5 linked regions of the Callithrix jacchus genome follow. The protein of the gene in region 5 interacts with the protein of the main gene of each other region in a biochemical or structural test. Links are inferred from orthologs where the notes say so. Each region holds a gene or a part of one and is shown on either strand. Other genes may lie near its edges.

Evidence for each region.
Region 1: the proteins of ARF1 (region 5) and ARFGAP1 form a complex in vitro, tested with the Homo sapiens proteins (2 studies listed by BioGRID, with this or other methods). The link is inferred for Callithrix jacchus from reciprocal best matches to the Homo sapiens genes ARF1 and ARFGAP1.
Region 2: the proteins of ARF1 (region 5) and PLD2 form a complex in vitro, tested with the Homo sapiens proteins (2 studies listed by BioGRID). The link is inferred for Callithrix jacchus from reciprocal best matches to the Homo sapiens genes ARF1 and PLD2.
Region 3: of the proteins of ARF1 (region 5) and AGAP1, one has a biochemical effect on the other in vitro, tested with the Homo sapiens proteins (2 studies listed by BioGRID, with this or other methods). The link is inferred for Callithrix jacchus from reciprocal best matches to the Homo sapiens genes ARF1 and AGAP1.
Region 4: the proteins of ARF1 (region 5) and CYTH2 are reported together in a solved structure, tested with the Homo sapiens proteins (3 studies listed by BioGRID and IntAct, with this or other methods). The link is inferred for Callithrix jacchus from reciprocal best matches to the Homo sapiens genes ARF1 and CYTH2.

What each region holds. Positions count from the first base shown.
Region 1 is NC_133506.1:58,760,970-58,765,275, reverse strand, and holds the start of ARFGAP1 (ADP-ribosylation factor GTPase-activating protein 1), read right to left. Parts: upstream 2,809-4,306; 5' UTR 2,711-2,808; intron 2,519-2,710; exon of another isoform or gene 1,554-2,518; intron 675-1,553; exon of another isoform or gene 471-674; intron 1-470. UniProt on the Homo sapiens protein: GTPase-activating protein (GAP) for the ADP ribosylation factor 1 (ARF1). Involved in membrane trafficking and /or vesicle transport.
Region 2 is NC_133506.1:106,379,674-106,383,693, reverse strand, and holds the start of PLD2 (phospholipase D2), read right to left. Parts: upstream 2,806-4,020; 5' UTR 2,644-2,805; coding exon 2,594-2,643; intron 2,426-2,593; exon of another isoform or gene 2,408-2,425; coding exon 2,298-2,407; intron 2,196-2,297; coding exon 2,065-2,195; intron 1,907-2,064; coding exon 1,764-1,906; intron 1,100-1,763; coding exon 994-1,099; intron 903-993; coding exon 837-902; intron 707-836; coding exon 648-706; intron 510-647; coding exon 417-509; intron 324-416; coding exon 171-323; intron 1-170.
Region 3 is NC_133507.1:157,044,478-157,047,988, reverse strand, and holds part of AGAP1 (arf-GAP with GTPase, ANK repeat and PH domain-containing protein 1), read right to left. Parts: intron 2,060-3,511; coding exon 1,904-2,059; intron 1-1,903. UniProt on the Homo sapiens protein: GTPase-activating protein for ARF1 and, to a lesser extent, ARF5. Directly and specifically regulates the adapter protein 3 (AP-3)-dependent trafficking of proteins in the endosomal-lysosomal system.
Region 4 is NC_133523.1:42,358,046-42,361,556, reverse strand, and holds the end of CYTH2 (cytohesin-2), read right to left. Parts: intron 1,093-3,511; coding exon 1,016-1,092; intron 890-1,015; coding exon 818-889; intron 728-817; coding exon 573-727; intron 446-572; coding exon 358-445; 3' UTR 181-357; downstream 1-180. UniProt on the Homo sapiens protein: Acts as a guanine-nucleotide exchange factor (GEF). Promotes guanine-nucleotide exchange on ARF1, ARF3 and ARF6. Activates ARF factors through replacement of GDP with GTP.
Region 5 is NC_133520.1:38,907,288-38,911,331, reverse strand, and holds the start of ARF1 (ADP-ribosylation factor 1), read right to left. Parts: upstream 2,803-4,044; 5' UTR 2,745-2,802; intron 1-2,744. UniProt on the Homo sapiens protein: Small GTPase involved in protein trafficking between different compartments. Modulates vesicle budding and uncoating within the Golgi complex. In its GTP-bound form, triggers the recruitment of coatomer proteins to the Golgi membrane.

The sequences.
Region 1 (4,306 bases), on a different chromosome or scaffold from region 5:
GGCAGAAGCAGTGCCCTTGCCCACAGTGTGGGAACAGCTGGCCTGCTGGGGGACCTGCAGGTGGGTCCTTCTGGGGCCATTCCGAGTCCTGGGGGGGGCAGCAGTGTGGCTGCAGCAGGACAGAGAGAGTGGCTTCGGACCATCAGCCCCGCCGCGGTGGCTCACAGGGACCCTAGTGGGATAGCAGCAACCAGGCTCGGGCTGAAGAGAAAACCTGCGGATGTCTCTGCAGCTCTCCTAACTACAAAGCACAACTTCCGCTGGTGGCCCATCCAATTCAGGGCCGGGAAAACCGATACAGCTGAGATTCAAAGCTGGAGGAAGGAGTGGAACCAACCCCAGTGTCCAACGAGAATGACCCAGTGGCCCCGAATACACCCCCAATGGGCAGGCTGCAGAGACAGTCCAGCCTGGAGGAAGCAGGCTTGCACCCCGCGCGCCCACGCCTCACTGCGCTGAGCCTCACCCACCTCTCAATAAGAACGGAGCTGTGTGCTGTTCCCTCTACCTCACTACACAGAGAACACACAGCGCTCTGTAAGCCACAGGAAACTACACGTGTGCACGGCTGCCCTTTCCAGCGCCAGCCCTTTCCTCCTCCACTGTATTTAAGAGGACTGTGTAGACCAGCTTTCCTACTCACGGTGTAGGTGGAAATTTATGTTGAGGTGAAGCTTAAAAAAAGAAAAAAAGAAAAATCTCTGTCCTATATTTCATTTCTCATCATAAGTATGCAGAAACAAGGTATTCACTGGGAGGGGGGAGTGTCCCAACTCTCCACACGGTCAAAGTTCCTGAATTCTGAAGCCCATGACTCCTAGTATTCACCAGCACCTACTTTAAACCCACTCAAAGTCAGGAAATAAATATGTTTTCTGCAGTTCATCAAAACAAAGCCAAAAGTTCACCCTGGGCTGACTTCTACTCCGTAATGCTCTGTGCCTGGTGTGAGAGCGCCCAGGAACCAGAGCATGAGGCAGGTCTGAAAGCTTACTCCCGACCGCATAGACTTGGATCCCAGCATGACTCATTCAGGCGAAACTGTCATCAAACTGAGCTTCCACCCGAACACAGCACTGAAGATGGAAAGGGGCTAAGCCAGGTTGGAGAGGTCCTGGCACCAAGGGTAGCGGGGCTGAGCTTATAAGGCCGTTGGGACACATTCTTCTCACGGCAGGCACACGCAGAAGCCGGCCCATGCAGAGGAGGTGAGCCACCAGAGCAGGACGAGGCCGCTCTGGGTCTCCACACTCGCTCCTTCCCACAGCACCAGGCCTGCTCTCAGGGGCTCATGTATTGGCCAACAGACACGGGCACACAAAAGTCAGAACCATGAGACGCTCCTTCAATTTCTAACTGTAAAATACACAGGATACTCACAGGACTACTGCAGGGAGAAAATGTGCAAAAAATAAAGGACTTCCCTTGGATTTAAAAGTAACTCCTCTATGTGACTAATTTTGGGTATTCACGAGCCCCAGTTACCTGAAATGTTAAAGTTAATAACACAAAAACAAATACCTCCTAACCTTCAAAAGCCCAATATGGTTTACCTTGAAAAATAATCCAGGAACTCTTAACACCTGAACCAAGATGTAAAACTATCCCTCCTCCTGCAAGTGCACATAACTTCAGTAAACATCAAACCCAGCGAGGACACTTTGTATTAGTTCGGAAGCCACTGAGACTTCAAAACTCAGGATCCGTTAAGCTGGAACACTCGCAATAGGTGAGGTCAAAAGGGATGCTTAAGAACACTGCTCAAGCCCTAGGGCTGTGACACAGTGACAGGCAGAAATGCTGAGTCTGAAGCACCTAAGGACCCACGTCTAAGAACAGCAGCCCCTTCTCCTAAAGAACAGACAACTTCTCAACTCTGAGAGGGATGCGGCCCCAGAAAGGGATGCCTAAACAAAGCTAACAGCTTCGATGCCCTGGGTCACTTTAGAGCCAAACTTTGCTGTTAAAATTAACAGAGCGTGGCAGGAATATTAATCAGACCTGCAAAAAATGAGCAGAGTTACTTCTTAGAACTGGTGGCCTGTAATTAAGGCGTTTAAAAGAACAGACACGAAGCATAGTTCTTCCAAACCCACAGAAAGTGAAAACAGTTTTAAAAGCCCCTTCCTGGTTTCTTCTCTCTCCCTTAAGACAGGCAGCCACGTCAAAGGGTAAAGAGGAAACCACGCGAGCTGAGGCTGCCGTTTCTGACGACAGTGGGCTCACCAACACCCCACTTCTGATGACACCGGGCAGAACCCTCACTCCTTAAGGGGTGGAAGCCCAGGCCCAGTCCTGGGTCCTAAGGAGCTCGGGAAGAGGGGGTTGAAGGGGACAGGGCAGGGTCCTGCTCGCGCCCTAAGCGGGCAGGGATCCTCTGGACTCGCGTAACCGGTGGGGGATTCCAGATCCGGGGTGCGGGTGGAGGGCAGCTTCGGAGGGAAGAGGGCGCGGGGGACTCGGGGCGGCACCGGGGAGAGGCGGCTGCAGCGGGGCGTCCGCGCGAGGAGGACCAGCCGCCCAGCGCCGAACGGACCGGGGGACCGCGGAGTGGGCGCCGCCAAGCTCTGGGCAGCAGCCTCGGGGCTGAGCGGGGTCCGGGCGGGGGCGGCCGTGGGGGGGAGGTCTGCCCGCGAACGCCGGGGCCAACGCCGCGGGAGCCGGGGCCTCAGGCCGAGCCCGCGCCCGCGCCGCCAAGCCGCGCGCTTACCTGGCAGGAGGCGGACAGGGCCGCGGGGTCAGGCCAGAGCCGGGGTCGAGCCGCCGCACTGTAACGGGGACGCGCCCGGGCGCCCACAAGCCGCCACCAACTTCCGGCTACGTCACGCTCGCAAGGTCTCGCGGGAGCCGGCGGGGCGGGACTTCCGCCTCAGGCCCCAGCCTTCGAGGCGCGCAGCCGCCCGGTCGCCATAGAGACGCGCAGACGCGCCGTCCATCCCCTCCCTGGGCCCCGGAGCGCAGCTGGTAGCTGTGGCCGTGGGGGAGGCCAGGCGGGAGATGAGTCCGTGCGTCCGCGAAAGAAAGCTGGGGTGGTTCCGGGGTGGCGCGTTCACCGGGGCCGACAACGAGGGAGGGGCGAGTAGGGGCCTGGAGCGGGGGCTCTGGGGAGGGGGCAGCAGGGGAACGGGGGTAGGAGGACCAGGGGCAGCGGGCGACAGGCAGGGAGGCGAGGGCCACGGGCAGTGGGTAGCAGGGGACGGGGGACTGGCATGGGGGTGGGGGTGCGTCCTGGGGCCCGTGCTCCCGCACTTGGGTCTGAGTCTCCCACCAGCCGAGCCTTTGGGCCCTGGCGGGAGGCGGCGGCGTTGAAAGGACCGCGGTCCCCCGCCCCTGCCACGCAGATGCCCCAGGGCGCGGGTGTGCAGTGATGGGACCCGAGTCTGCATTAGGAAGGTGCAAAGCCGGAAAAGCGGTCACCCGTGGGAGGTTAATTGCAGGTAATTTTTTGTTTTGTTTTTGTGCTTTTCTGTGCATTTCACATATTTCTCCTTGATTTGGCTGACCTTTGAAATGATGGAGAATAAACATTTGTATTGTGGTATAAGCTGCAACACCGAAAAACGTACAGGTCAAGGAGTTTTGACAAATGCATATCCCCAGGTAACATCTACCCTGGTCAGTTATAGATATTCCCAACAGAGGCAGCCACTCTTCTGATTCCAACATCTCCATGTCTTAGTTTTGCCTGTTCTGGAATATCACACAAATAGAGTCGTGCAAAATACACTTTGGTGGTGCTTCTTTCCCTTAACACGAGGTTCTGAGATTCAGCCACGTCGCACGCATCGTAACTGGTTCCTTTTTATTGCCAAGTAGCACGCCATGGAAAATACGTCACATTCCTTCATTCGTTCACACTTTGGACACTGGGGTCGTTTCTATGTTTTGGTTAGTATGAATAAAGCTGTCTTGAAAGGGCTTTTTGTAGCATATTTTTTCTTCCTCTTGAGTAATTACCTAGAAGTGAAATTTCTGGGTGTTGGATGTGTATGGAACGTTATTAAAACATGCTAAGTGGCCAGATGTGGTGGCTCACACCTGTGATCCCAACACTTTGGGAGGCTGAGGCAGGCGGGTCACCTGAGGTCAGGAGTTCAAGACCAGCCTGGACAACATGGCAAAACCCTGTCTACTAAAAATACAAAAATTAGCTGGGGGTAGTGGCACATGCCTATAATCCCAGCTTCTCAGGAGGCTGAAGCAAGATAATTGCTTGAACCCAGGAGTCAGAGGTTGCAGTGAGCCGAGATCGTATCCCTGCACTCCAGCCTGGGCCACAGAGCAAGACTGAAAGAAAAAGTGCTAA
Region 2 (4,020 bases), on a different chromosome or scaffold from region 5:
GTCTCGAACTCCTGACCTTGTGATCTGCCCGCCTCGGCCTCCCAAAGTGCTGGGATTATAGGCGTGAGCCACCACGCCCTGCCTCCTGTAGTATCTCTTACTGAAGTCCAGGCAGGGCTGTGGGCTGGCTCACCACTCACCAGCTGTCTCTCACACCAGGGAGGCCTTACCTGTGAGAGGTATCGATCCGCACACCGTACCGTGCCTCCGTGCTCCGTTTCCCCACCTGCACCTCAAAGCCAGGGTCAAAGAGCTGAACAAATGAGATGGTGCCCGTCTCGAGGCACATGTACAGCAGGAAGGAATCCTTCACCACCAGCCACCTAGAGCAGAAGGGCTCCCTGTGTTCCTCTCTGCCCTTGCAATTTCCTTTTTCACCCCTACCCACTGCCCAGCTGCTCGGCCACAGCCCATACCTCTTGGACCAGCGATAACAAACTTGGTCTCGGCCACAGCAGGTGAGGCCAGGAACTCGGTGGCCACCTGAGCGCTTCCGGATCATCCCCTCCCTGTGGGACAATCAGGAAGAGATGGTGGATGAGGACTCCAGACTGCCAGCCCACCTTGCACGGCTTGCCCATTCTCAGACAGGGAGAAATTAACAGTGATGTCTGCGGATGGCTGGGTGAAGGGTGCCAGACACTCACAGTCCTTTGCAGCCCAGGTCTGGGATAAAAGACAGCTGACTGACTTCCAGGAACTCTGTCTGTAGAGAAAAACAAAAGGCCAGAGGAGACACCTGGCTGTCAGCCCCTCAGACCTTGGGGCCCCTGGCTCTCTCCCGCTGCAGGTCTGATTATCCTGCTCCACATCTAAAATCGGTCCCTGGACCTTACCAGGGCATGGTAGTTGCGATAGAAAGACATGGTCAAGAGGCGGTTGAGGTAATTCTCCAGGTATTTCTGAAGTGGGGATGAGAGAGAGAGAGAAAGATGAGACCAGAGCCATTTGCACCTCTAGTGCCTTCCCAGAGAACCTGGTGTCTGGTCCCACCTGTTTGCTGGCTGCATGTCTGGTGGAGCCCTCAGGACCTGCTCGGGGTAGAGAGGGAATCTCTCTGTTGGCTGCCTCTCGGGCTGGAGAATAGGCAACGGCAAAACTGTGGTAAGGATAGATGAGGGTCAGGTATGTGCTGGGAGGCTGGGTGCTCCGGTTCTTGAAAACACTGGAGATGGGGGCTTGGAGGAAAAGAAGAGGCCTGGAGGTGGCCAGGGGTGGTGGCTCATGCCTGTAATCCCAGCACTTGAGGAGGCCAAGGTGGGTAGATCACTTGAGCTCAGGAATTTGAGACTAGCCTGGCAACATAGTGGAACCCCATCTCTACAAAATATGCAAAAATTAGCTGGGTGTGGTGGCTGTGGTCCCAGCTACTCGGGAGGCTGAGGTGGAAGGATCGCTTGAGCCCAGGAAGTTGCAGTGAGCCAAGATCATACCACTGAATTCTAGCCTGGGTGACAGGACACCTTGTCAAAAACAAAAAGGCCTAGAGGCTGGCAAAAGGAAGGCCCCCTACCCTGGGAATGGAGACTAGAAAAGGGTGAGGCTGCCAAGGACATTTTGGGCATCCAGCCTGGCTGAGATGCTGGCACAGAACCATGGACAGGGAAAGTTTCCTGGTAACTGGGGTCAGGGGAGGTGGCCCAGTGGCCAGAGCCACTGCAGGGAGGAAAGGCTGTGGCCGGAGGGCAGGGGAGGAGGGCAGACACAGGAAGGAGGGTGGGGGGGGCACCTGCCCTCTACAGGAAGCAGTTCGGCCCCCTCACCGAGCCAGGGGGAGCAGACTCATCAAGACTTTGTGTCTCAGGAGGTCCCGATGCAGCTCCTGAAAATGACGGAACTTCTTCTTGGTTGTCCAGGTAAAGTCGCCGTGAGTCAAGCGGACAGAATACAGAGTGCAGGTTCCCACCTAGGGGTGTGACAAACTGAATGGATGTTCCCTGCATGTGTCCCTGCCTCCCCACTCTGGCCAGCCTTCCCTTTCCCCCTCCCTGGGGCCAGCTGAGACACCTTGGATCCACCCTGGCCCGCCCTCCCTTTCCCCTTCCCTGGGGCCAGTCTGGCCACCTTGGATCCGCTGGTATATCTTTCAGTGCCCACCACCTGGGCTGTGACAGGGACCCCAGTTGCAAACACCAAGGGATGCACTTTCAGAGGCTGAAGATCATAGATGGCCAGAAACGGGTGCATCCGGTCGGCTGGGAGGAAAGAAAGTCAAGGAGTGCAGACCCCAGTAGGCCCCAGCCCGCGGGCCCCGCCCCGCCTCTTCGCCCTGCAGGTCATCCATATTCCCTGTGTACCTGGGTCCTCTCCCTCTCTCAGAGTGTTCACCTCATCGGACTCCATCTGGAGCTGGCTGGAGTCTAGGTCGCCCCCAGTGGGGAAGAGGCTCTCAGGGGTCGCCGTCATCCTGGGAATATGGGGAAGCCTAAGGGAGGCAAGCTGCCCTGCAGAACCCGCCCCGCTATCCTAAATCTCGCAGCCCTCCCTCTGTTGCAGGTCCTCCCCTTCCCCCACGGACTCCTGACCACCCCTCTGACGACGCCTGGCCAGTTTGCAACGCCCCACCGACCCCCTTCTGGGCTCCATTCCCTACCTTAATCCCTCATCCGCAATCCCAGTCCCAGTCCCGAGCCCCCGCCCCATCCCGTAACCAGAGCCCCGGGGAACACCCAGCCAGGCCCGGAAGGCTCCGACTTGGGGCCGCGCAGCAGCTGTGCCGGGAAGCGGCCCCGGGTGCTCGAGAGAGCGCGGAGCTGCGGCGCTCACGCCAGGCAGGGGAGCCGGGGCAGGGGTCCAGGCGGGAATGAGGAAGTTACGCGATCCCCGCCGAGGGCGGGGAGCAACCCCGAAATCTGAGTGTGAAGCTGAGTGTGGAGGCCCCGCAGCCCGAGCCCGTTCCCTCCCCCCACGATTTCCTGGGCCCGGCACCCCTGCGCGCCCCTTCACGGCCCCTCACCCTGGCAGTCGGAGCGGGCGCCCGCGCGGGTTCCCGAAGCCAGGAGAGCAGAGCGGAGTAGCAGCTGGAGCCCACGCCCCAGCGGGCCGGGGCGGGGCCGGGGCTCAGGGCCTGCCCTCGGGGGCGGGACGGCCCCCGGCCTCACCTCCGCGGGATTCTCGTCTGTCCTGTCCCGCCCCCGCCGCCCTCGACCCGCCCCGTCGCCCCGCGTGCCGCCGGGAGCCCGGGGGCCGCCCTGTGCCCTGCGGGCCCGCACGATCCCCTCGGTGCGGCTGGCAAGTGCTGCCCGGCGTCGGGGCGTCCAGTGTTGTCGGTCCCAGCGTGCCCGGCCGCCGCCTCCCAGGACCCACTCTGCGCGCATCCCTCCGCTCGGTGCCAGTCCCGGGACCCTCTAGCCGCGGACGCTGCCTGGGTCCCGGGGGACGCGCCTCCGCTGCAGGAGCTGGCGATGGGTGCCCCACTCCCGAGCCCGCTGCGAGCCACGTTCGGCCTAGCCCGGATAGCGTTTGTACCTGGAAGGCATGAGGGCGTAAAAGGCCCGAGGGCTGGTGGCTATAAACCCATTAGTGAATGAGAGCGGGCATTCTTTCATTCATTCACCAAACATTTATTGCGTGCTTACTCCGTGCCAGACACTGAGAGTAAGGTAGTATATAAGATGGTTATGGAGCTTGCTTCGCTGGAATTGGCAGTCTAAGGGGAAACAAAATCTCTTCGGGTATTTCAATCTTTTTTAAAAGCCGATTTATTTGTCTCTTCTTTTGATAGACAAATGGGTTTCTAGTTTTGTCCGTTGTCAATAAAGCGCTTGCAGGCCGAGGTGGCTCACAGCTGTAATCCCAGCACTTTGGGAGCCAAAGCAGGCGGATCACGAGGTCAGGAGTTCGAGAGCAGCCTGGCCAACATAGTAAAACCTCGTCTCTACTTTAAAAATACAAAAATTAGCCGGGCATGGTGGCGCACGCCTGTAGTCCCAGCTACTTTGGAGCCTGAGGCAGGAGAATTGCATGAACCCAGGAGGCAGAGGTTGCAGTGAGCAGAGATTGTGCCACTGCACTCCAGCC
Region 3 (3,511 bases), on a different chromosome or scaffold from region 5:
AGCTATTTATTTAGGTGACTACTGCTGTTCTTGGTGTGTCTGAAGAAACTGTCCAATAAAATATCTTATCCATGTACTAATTTAAGCATGAGAGATACTCACCTGTATTTTGCAGAAACCTATATACCTGCCTCCTCATCTATCGCATATGCCTGACACTACCAGGAATCATTTTATAGTATCAACGGTAGTGAGAAAATAACAAAAGCAATGCCACCAGGTCTCGTCTGTCTCCTCCAGGAAGTCTTCCCGGCAGCCCCAAGTACTATGGTTTCCAGCTGAGAGAGGTCAGGTAATTTGCCTAAGGTCAAACATCCGTCAGCAGTGGAGGCCAGGGTCTGAGCCTGGTCTGTCTGATCAGTCCTCACCCTGCTGCCCAGCACTGGCCTCTGTGGGAGCTGATCTGGCGCAAGACACCCAGCAAAGGCAAGGGGAGGCTGGGGAGGAGGAGGTGTGTGCTGTTGGCAACCACTTCCACAGTCATGAGTACCCAGTGAGAGACTGCCTCGGATATGTGGCAGAGAGACAGGGGATCTCCCAGATGTGGCAGGAACTGTAACATCACATCAAGTTCCTCTTCACAAAGGGGCAGCAAATCAGACTCCCAGTCACCCCTATAGAGTCTTCCTTTAACCCAATAGGACATATTAAGCTTTGCGTCTGGGTCAGCAGTGATCAACCAAAAATGCAAGTCAGATGGTTTAAAACAGGACACCACTGACCCGGGGGCTGGGCATTCCCTGCTGCGAGGGGCCGATCTGCTGATGCTCTGCAGCACCCTTGGTTGATACCCAGGACTAGACGTCCGCAGTACCTTACCTTCCCACTCTCATACTCCTGCGGTAACAGCCCGAAGATTCTCCAGAAACTGCCAAATGTCCTTGGAGAGCAAAACCACCCAGGTTGAGGCCCACTATTTAAAAAGCATATACTAGTCATGCACAGAGGTGATCCAGGGAGAGAGCGTTCTTCTCAAGTCAAAGGGCTTCAGTCACCTGACAGCAGCTATGCCTGGAGTCTGGGGCCCAACTGTGTAGACTCCAGATTGATTGGTAATGTCTGCTGGGCACAGGGGAGAGACAGGATGGTAGCATTTTTGTCTCTTCCGTAGTTCAGGGATTCTTTGCATCTTAATCACCCAGAGAGTTTTTAAGTACTAAACGTGCTGGCTGTGCACTATGGCTGATGCCTGTAATCCCAGCACTTCAGGAGGCCAAGGTGCAAGGATGGCTTGAGCCCAGGAGTTCAAGATTACCCTGGGCAACACAGTAAGACTCCGGCTCTCAAAAAAAAAAATTAGCCACACACAGTGATGCATGCCTGTGGTTCCAGGGACTCAGAAGGCTGAAGTGGGAGGATTTGAGGACTGAACCACTGCACTCCAGTCTAGGCAGACTTCCTTTTTTTCCCCGTCTCAAAAGGGAAAAGAAACCAAGTGGAAAGCCTCATGGCAATGAGCCTCCAGAAGGCATCTCCCCATCCCCCGCCTCCACCAGAGGCACCTCAGCAGCAGCAGAAGAGGGCCTGTGGACTGTAACAGCTTATCATCATCTGAATGGCTAGAGACACACATCTGGGAATCTTGGCAGAGTTTTGCCATCTCTTTGTATCCAGTGTGACATGTCTTTAGCTGGAGCCACAGGGTAACAAGTGCCTTTATACACACCCACAGCTCTTCATTTCTGACATAACAATCTGTACCCGTCCACACCAAGAAACTCCCATTCTACTCGACATCCAAATCTTTGCTTCTCATAATTTTCTCAGCGTTCCACAGAAATCAATGCTATTCCCATTGATATAGTTGAGATTCTACAAATACCACTGAATCACGCAACCAGGTTTATGTTAATGGACACTCTTCAGAATGGCGCTCAAATCTCCACCCAGGGTTGACACTCACGGTGAAAAGGTTGGACCGGCGCTTGGACTGCTTGCGAACGGGCGTGGGCGTGTTGGCACTGGGAGGAACGTCGATCCGAAGCTCCTTCTGGCTGGTGCTGGGAGTCGATGGAACGGAGGAGGAATAGTCGCTTAAACTCCCACCGCCATTACTTGTCTGAAATGATTAAAACCCAAGGTTTTACTAACAACACTCAGGAACCCAAGGTCTCCACTGACGCAAGGTCATAACCAACAAGTTAGCAGGAACCCCACGGAAGGGACACGTGAGATAGGCTGACTTGTGTCTACGGCTTTGCCAGGTCTGTCAGCATCAAGGCTACGGGGCCTCTTCCTGCAATATGCCAATCATCTTTCTCAGTAGTGTCTTCTAAGGAAAGCAACAGAAGAGAAAGAAGTGTCTTTAACTCAGAAGGTTTCTGAGAGTTCAAATTTGATGGTTTCTCTTTCCTCTGAAAATGAAAAGTGTTGCTTCCATGGATTCTACGGTTCCTCCACTGCTCTAGATCAGTAACCACAACCAACATTCTGAAAACGACACTGGGAAAATCTGAGTGCTCTTGAAAAATATTTCAAGACTCACAGAAAATTAAACATAGCAAGTGAAGACATGTTTTTTATTTTGAGACAGGGTCTCACTCTGTCACCCAGGCTGGAGTGCAATGGCCTAATCTTCTCACTGCAGCCTAGATCTTCTCCTGAGCACAGGTGATCCTCCCACCTCAGCCTCCCAAGTACCTGAGACCACAGGTACAGGCCACCACACCCAGCTAATTTTTCTATTTTTTATAGATATGGAAATGTAGTTCTGCCATGTTGCCCAGGCTGGTCTTGAACTACTGAGCTCAAGCAATCTGCTCTCCTTGAGCTCCCAAAAGTGCTGGAATTATGGGCATGTGCCACTCAGCCCAGCCAACATTAACACTCATGACTGTACCTTTCCAGGCTCTGACAACACGTGCCATAATTTACTGGCTTCCCACGCAAACTGAAAGCGTTACACCAAACCTTTTCACCATATCCTTAAAAAAAAAAGTGCCAACGGAATGCCTGCCCAAGAAACATAATCAGAAAGCAAGCACAGGCAAAAACAAAGCCAACTGTTTCCTTAAGAGGTTTTTGGTTTCGGTTCTTCAAAGTGACAATTATTTCATTTGCTTCCAAGTAAATAATTTTGCAAAATGTTGTTATGGAAAGAGAGTGGTGCCTATGGGACCTGAGGGAGATGGTAATTACAACGGAATGCCGCTACCAAATTTAAAGATAAAGCGAGATTGGCCATTAAGATTCACTCAGAACTGTTCAACCTATGAGCAGACGAGGACCATGACCAGAGCAGGGTGGTTTAAATCACCAGCGAGGACCGCAGCACACACCTCCCGCCACCCCTGGGCCAGCATGCCTCATAACACAGGCAGCATGAAGACGAAAACATTAAAGAATGATTCCCATAAAAATCAGTTGGCCACAGCAGTTTCTGAAGAAAATGTTAAGTCAATTACAACATGCTGTTACTTATAAAGTTGAAAAGAAAAAAAAAGTTTAATCTTAGCATTGGCTGGGAACGCTGTCTGCACGTTCTCTTTGCTGCTAAGGTGTCTTTCGGTCC
Region 4 (3,511 bases), on a different chromosome or scaffold from region 5:
TACTCCACTCCTGCTGGGCTCCGGATGAAACAGAACAGACCCACCCGGGACAGGCCCTGGGGGCCACACCAAGCAAGCGCCCAGAGACAGGCGGGTCCAGGCCACTGTCCGGGGGAAACAGGCTGCCTCCACCAAGCGCCTCAGCTCTGTCAACCCCAAGAAATGAGGGGATCAGCAGGCTGAGTGGTTAAATAATTAATAAGATTACCAACAGTGTGTTAATTACAAAGAACAGAGAGGAGCTAGAGGTGGTGAATTTTCCAAACAGGGAACCAGGATTCACAGCCCCAAGGCCCAGGGGTCCGGCCACCCAGGCGGGGCAGCTCTGCAATAAATAATGGAGTTGGGGGCGGGAGGTCAGGGCTGCTCCTGCTTCTTCTTGACTGAAATCCGCTTCTTTCTCGCTGCCAGCATCTCATAGAAGGGGTCCACACTCACAGCTGCCCTGAAGATGGGAAGGGATCCCAGGATGAGGGCCAAGGAGTCCAGGCCCCCAGCCCCTCCTCCCTCACACCCAGGGGTCCAGGCCCTGGCCAGCCCCTTCTCCCTCACACCCAGGGCTCCAGGCTCACTCAATGGACTTGATCCACTCATCCTTCTCCTCCTGCGTTGGGGCTGAGATCCGGTATACCATGTGGTTCCCCTCTACCACCCGGCCATCCGCCTCGGTTTTGCAGGCTTTGATGAGCTGCCCCTTGTTGTTGGGGATGTAAAGCTCAAAGCAGTTCTGGGGATGACAGGGGAAGGGCAAAGGTGAGAGCCAGCCCTGGGCAGAGGTGGCGCACCCCGGCAGGAAGGTGTACAGAGAGGATCTCACCGGTTTCCGGGGGTCATCCACCTCTCGGATGCTCAGATTTTCCAGGGGGATGATTCCTCGGGGCTCCTTGTCCTGAAGAAGCAAGTTGGATGGAACTCAGACTTCCAAATCCTCACCCCACTCTGCCTCTCTCAGCCCGAGTCCAGGCTCCCAGACCCTCCTCCCAGGACCCCAGAGCCCAGCCCAGGTCACCCTCACCGTCGTGTACTCAAAGTAGTAGAGGCAGTTGTCTGTGAGGATAAACCAACGCCGCTTCCACGTCTTCACCCGGCCCCCTGAAAGGGAAGGGGTGGGAGGGGGCCTGGGCTCAACGGAGGGGGACAGGGCCTCTGGGAGGTGGGAGGGGCGTAAGAGGCAAAGCAAGAGTGGGAGAGGCGGGGCTCCTGTGGCCTAGGATAAAGCCGCTGTGTAGGGGGAGACAGACAAGCAGGGACAGGCGTGTTGGGGCTCCAGGAATCGTCCACCCCCAGCTTGGGGCTTCACTTTTCTAAGTTTGTCAGTCCCCCCTGCTGTGGGCCGGAGGCCAGGGCAGCCCCCTCCCCTCTCTAGTGATGGGGGACAAGGACAGATCGTGTACCTACCTCCTGGGGCAGACAGCGAGAAAGCAGGCAGGACCAGGTGCAGGAGAAGGGAAGGCGGGAGAGCGGAGCACCCCAAGAGCCGCAGGCGACAGAAATAGGGTGGGTGCGGGGCGGGATGTGCAGGGGGCGGGGCAGAGAGGCAAACAGGAGACAGAGAAACACGCAGAGGGAGGGGAGGGAGAGAGAGGGAAGAAAACCAGTTACATCCACATGAGGGGCAGATGGCCGGGGCCCCTCCCTCCCAGAGAGGCCAAGGGCCCTGAGCCCCAGGTGGAGGCCTGGAAAACCCCTTGCATGGGCAGAGGGCCCCAGCCCACCCACTAAGGTCTGTCCCAGGCCAGGAGAGTCCTCCCTTGACATGGTGAAAGTGCCTCTCCCCTGTAGGTGGGAGGAGGCAAAAACCCCAGTCTTTGGTCTGAGGTGGGTGTGGGGGCCCATCTCAGCTCCTGCACAAACTGGCTGTGTGACCTCAGGACACTCTCTTGGCCTCTCTGGACTCCAGCCTGGAGACTCACTTGGGCCCACACCTTCCTGTGGCAAAAGGACCCACTTCTGGCTTCCTCATGGGCCCAGGGTTAAACAGTGAAAGTCATAATGGCTTTTATTAGCCATGAAGTAGAAACTGCGGCCGCCCATCTCCACTCCTGCACTGCCACCTTTAAGGAAGGGATGCCCCTCTCAACTGGCATAACGGGAACAGAGGCTCTCTGGCCAGAAATGTCCCTGGGGCTGGGCAGCCTTAGATGAGGCCCAGAGCCAAAATGAAAAGTGAGCCTCAATTTCCTTATCTGGGAAATGGGAAAGGTTGCTGCTGACGGAGTATTTTTTTTTGAGACGGAGTTTCACTCTTGTTGCCCAGGCTGGAGTGCAACAGCATGAACTCGGATCACTGCTACCTCCACCCACCTCCTGGGTTCAAGCAATTCTCCTGCCTCAGCCTCCTAAGTAGCCGGGACTACAGGCGTGCGCCACCACGCCAGGCTAATTTTTGTAGACAGGGTTTCACTATGTTGGCCAGGATGGTCTCGATCTCTTGACCTCCTGAATCACCTGCTTTGGCCTCCCAAAGTGCTGGGATTAGAGGCGTGAGCCACTGCGACTGGCACAGGAGCAGTTTTGAGGGAAGCAGCTCCTTGTGAGGCTGGCGCCTTCCTGCTTCTCTTTCTAGCCTGCTCACTGCCAGGGCACCTCGAGGACTGTCAATTTCCCCCAGCACCGCCTGCCTTCCTTGGATCCAATACAAGATGGGGACTGGGGTTGGCTGAACAGTGATTTGCATGTATTTTTATTTGAGAGAGATGGGGTCTTCTGCCGCCCAGGCCGAGGTGCAGCCGCACAATCACGACTCACTGCAGTCTTGACCACTCGGGCTCAAGCAATCCTCCTGCGCCACCAGGCCTGGCTAATGTTTTTTTTGTAGAGATGGGGGTCTCACTATATTATTGCCCAGGTTGGTCTCAAAGTCCTGGCCTCTAGCAATCCTCCTGTCTTGGCCTCCCAAAGTGCTGAAATTGCAGGAGTGGGCCACTGCGCCCAGCCTGACTTGCATATTTTACATTTACCAGGAAACCCTGGCATCTGCTGAGGTGGCGACGCCCCGGTTTAATAGCACAGTTCAGGCCAGGTGCAGTGGCTCACACCTATAATACCGGCACTTTGGGAGGCCAAGGTGGGTCACAAGTTAGAGACCAGTGTGACAAACGTGGTAAAACCCCCGTTTCTACTAAAAAAAAAAAAACACAAAAATCAGCCCAGCATGGTGGTGCATGCCTGTAATCCCAACTACTCAGGAGGCTGAGGCAGGAGAATCACTTGAACCTGGGAGGGAGAGGTTGCAGTGAGCCGTGATCAAGTCACTGCACTCCAGCCTGGGCGAGAGTGAGACTCTGTCCCCCAAAAAAAAAAAAAAAAAAAAAAAAGCACAGTTCCACATGGGGAGTCCCCCAAGAGGCAGAGGCCGAAGCAGCCTTGTCCAGTCCTCCTTCCAAGAAGCCTGGCCTTGATGCCCTTCCCTGAGCTGGAAGCTTCCTCTGAGTTCTCCTGCTGTCCCGGGAAGCCTCCATTGTTGCAGCGGATGGTACTTCTCAGATCCGTCTCTCTGGAGCAGCTGTGC
Region 5 (4,044 bases):
GTATGTTGGCTGACAACCGGCTGCAAGCCCTTGTTACCACTTTATAAGAACCAGGAAACCAAGACTGGTCAAGCACATAATGGCTAATCAGCCAGCCTCACTGTCTCTGCATCCCTGTAGGAGACTGAGACAGGACCCTGGGGGAGGACCTGAGAGCTTCCTGGCAACAAAGAGCATCCAGGACACGTCTGTCAAGTTGCTAACAAGGTCATCTGACCCACCTGAGAATGTGAAAGTACCTTCCAAGACAGTGAGGTGGCTGCACAGCTGTAAAGCGATGAGTGCAACTTTGCCTTAGAGAGTTTACAACCACCACAAGAGGATGGGAACCTGAGGATGAAGACAAGTCCAGGAATCCCAACATGAAGAGGCCAAACCTTTTGCAAAAGACCACTTCAGACACTATGGGCAGGATACCCCTACCAACCATCCACGCCAATGAGCACGCACAACACAGAAAACAAAGTCGTCATAATTTAAGACCCTACTGCAAGGCCTTTTCATGTTTCTCTCCCAATTACCTCTGACAGTGCACTCTATTTCCTTTCACCCTCGAATTTATGAAGGTGAAAGGTCAAGGGGACAGAATGCTTATGAGAAACAGCATGGACCTGCCAGCCCAAGAGGCTGGCTTCAGCCTCTTGCTCAGGAGAATGGTCACAGCTCATGAATAAGTGTGTAGAAAAGCTTGGTGCGCCTGGCCTGTGAGTAAGAGCAAGCTTAAATCCACACACCAAGGAGACATTTAATTTGGAGAATCTAAAAAGAAATGTTCAACTCTCTGAAACCAGTCGTATACTACTCCGCAGGAACTTGCACAACACGTTTTTTTCTCTTGGTTTAGGTCTACTTCTGTGATAACCGCAGCAGCTGACAGTCCACATTAAAGTTTACTGAAGTGAAAAAGGAAAGGCCAAATGCACCTTCCTATAGTAGTTTCAAGTCTGTCCGGTCCGTAGGGGCAGATTAGCAGGTGAAGGAAGATGTCTGAATGTCCTCTCCATATTGTGCAAGAGGTACAGCGCATAGCTAGACCACATGATGTACAAAACCAGAACTGTGAGGAGCACAGAACCAGTTTTTGCTTTTCACTCACAGTCATTGTGTGACTCAGCTGTTGTCCAAACCAACTGTTTCAAATCTTTTTCAACTGGTAAATCTGAACATCTGCCTCACAGGCAACAACAGATTCCTACTGCAGTGGTTTGGATTTATTTTCAACAAGATACACCCGAAAAGCAGTGACAGATATTCTCCGGTCTACCAACACGTGGTAACGTGGACAACAGACTTCTAACAATGTGGCCAATCAAATGTGTGACTAACATTTACACTACTCAATTCCTCTCAACTTTGGACCCAGATAGTAATACTGCATTTCGGGACTTTCTGGCTACCGTGGCAGTGCTACCGAAAATGCAAACTAAGTCAGAACACCATCCATGCAGTCACAAGTGTTAGAAAATGGCTATCGCCACGGCAGAGGGCCACAGGGGCCACACAACAAACTGGACCGCGGCATCTCACAATCCTCCCAAACACACCGCGGAAAACGCCAGAACCACCAGCCTTGCAACAGCCGGCAAAAAAACTGCTGACCCCTAGTTCTGAAACGAGAACTACAACTGCCCCTCCAACAGGGGCAGTGCACCAACTCCACAGCTATCAACTCGGGGACCACCCAAAGCCTCCGGCCGCCCTTCTTTCCTGCCCGCGATTCCGGGTGCATTTCTGCTCATTTCCTGCAAAGCAGCAACGGGCTGCCTGGACAGAAAGCGAGAGCGCCAGGAGGTGCCGTCGGAACGGTGACCTAACACCAGGTGCGCACGGCTGTCCAGCCCAGCCTCACCCCGGAACCACGCAGGCTGTGCCCGGCCTCCGCGGCCCCGAGTCTGCGAGCAGGTCGTTCCGCGGGCAGGTTAAAGATTCACCAGCTCAGAAGAGGCTTCTTATCATCCACCGCCGCCAAGGCACCACCCTGGGGTTAAAGCAAAGATCCACCGGCCCCTCTGGAAGCCACGGGTCTCACGGGTGTGAAGGGAGGCACTCCGGACTCCCCCGGAAGTCCACGCAGCCGGAGCCGGGCGCGGGGTCCCCATCCACCTGCCCGCCCGCTCTCACCGCCCCCCAGCCGGTGCCGCCCTCAGAGCAAACACCAACTGGATGGAGTGGGGAGGCGGAGATGCAAGCCCCCACCACCAACGTGACCTTGACGGCGCCTGGGGCCGTCCGAGCCTCAGTTTCCCGGTCCCTGAGGCAGGGGTCCGCCCGGATGCCACCCGCTCGCCCGTGCTCGGGTGGGGGAGGCCCCACGGCCCCTACCGGCCCCCGCGGCCTCTAACCCCAACTCTCCACGCGCGAGCGGCTTCGAGAGACGAAAAGGGCAGATGTGAGGGAAGCAGGAAGCCCAGGCTTCCTGGAGAAGAGCCCGGAGTCCCGGCGGACTTCCGGGCCGAGGGCGCGGGCAGGGACGGGCAGAGGAAGACACGGGGCCGCGAGCGACGTCGGGAATCTGTGAGGGGCGCGAAGGGCCCACCGACCCGCCTGCCGGCCCAGCCCCGACCCCGGCCAGGCCCCAGCCTCAGCCCGGCCCGTCCTCGTCCGCCCCCGGCACGGCCCTATCGCCGCCGCCGCGGGGGTCGAGGTGCTCTTCGCGAACCTCAAGTCGCCCCGAAGCCAGTCCCCTGCCCCCGCCGGCTCCTACTTGCCCGCGGCCCACACGGTCCCGGGCCCCTCGCCCTCACCTCAGCGGCTGCTGCTCCGAGCCAGGCGTTGGTTTCGCTCCCACAAGATGGCGGCTCTGACGGCGGCCACGTCAGCGCCTGCGGACGCAGAGCACGCCGGGTAAGGGGCGGAGACACAGGGAACTCCTCCCACCGCTCGCCCGCGGAGCAGGCGCGCTGACTCCAGGAGGGCTGCAGGGGGCGGGGAAGGGGGCGGGGAAAGGGACGCCCCGCCCCGGGCCGCGGTCCCCGCGCGCGCGCGCGCCCAGGAGAGGGCGAGCGCACCCGTCTGCGCCTGCGCCTGCGCCTGTGTGTTTCCGAGAAGACACCATGTGGCTCCCTCCCGCCCGTTTCACAGATTCGGTGACTGAGGTCCGGGCTGCTGCTGCAGGAACTAGAGCGGCGGGGCCGGGTTGACACCCTCCTCCTTCCCGGCGCGGCAGTCACCGCGAGCCCGCAGGGGCCGCGTAAGGACGTGGGTGTGAGGTGCCCCTCGCCGGGGTTGGGGTTCCTAGCCCCCAGGCTGCGCGGAGTCGCGAGCCCCGGCCCTGTGGAAACCTGTGGCACTCGCGGGTCCACGACTGAACGTCCGAAGGCGGGAGGCCTGCTGTGTCCCCCACTGGCCTCGGCGCCCCGACGGCCGCAGTGACTCGAGCGGGGTCACGCCTGGGCCAGGAGCAGACCCCGGGGAGCCGGCCACGGGTGAAGCAAAGGAGGAGGTGGCCTGGAAACCCGCGGGGGAAACGGGGCCGTGGGGGTGGGGCCCAGGGTCGAGGACGGCTGCCCAGAGGGGATGTCGCACGGCCTCTGATGAGCTGGCCTTTCCGCTGAGATCCAGCCTGAGGCGGAGGAGCCCTGGTTGTCAGGGACCCCTCCTGGACCGGTCGGAAGGGAACATGGACCGGTGCAGCCTCTCTGTTCCGCGCGCTGGAGGCCTGGCTGTGCCCACCACCCCCGGGTTTCTTCCCTCTTCCCTTGTGCGGCTGTGGGGTTGGGCTTGCTAGGAGGGCGTCCGTGCAGTACAGTGTCCTGGGTATTGTGGAGGTCGGGAAGCATCCTGATTCGTCCAGGCCGAGGCCTCCCGCGTCCCTCCGCTGTCCCCGTTACCCACCTACCTTCCTGGCCCCTTGGGCAGGGCATCCTCACTGCCTCTGGAGGCTGCGATGGCCGGAGTCTCCACTGGGGCTGCACCTGGGGAGGCTGCAAAGGTCCCCAGAAGCGATGACCCTCCTGCCCCCCAAATTCAGTCCTTTTCTCTGCCTGGGGCTCCCGTCTGAAGTCTCACCTCTGTGAAGCTGCAGCAGAGCTGTCTATGTAGAAG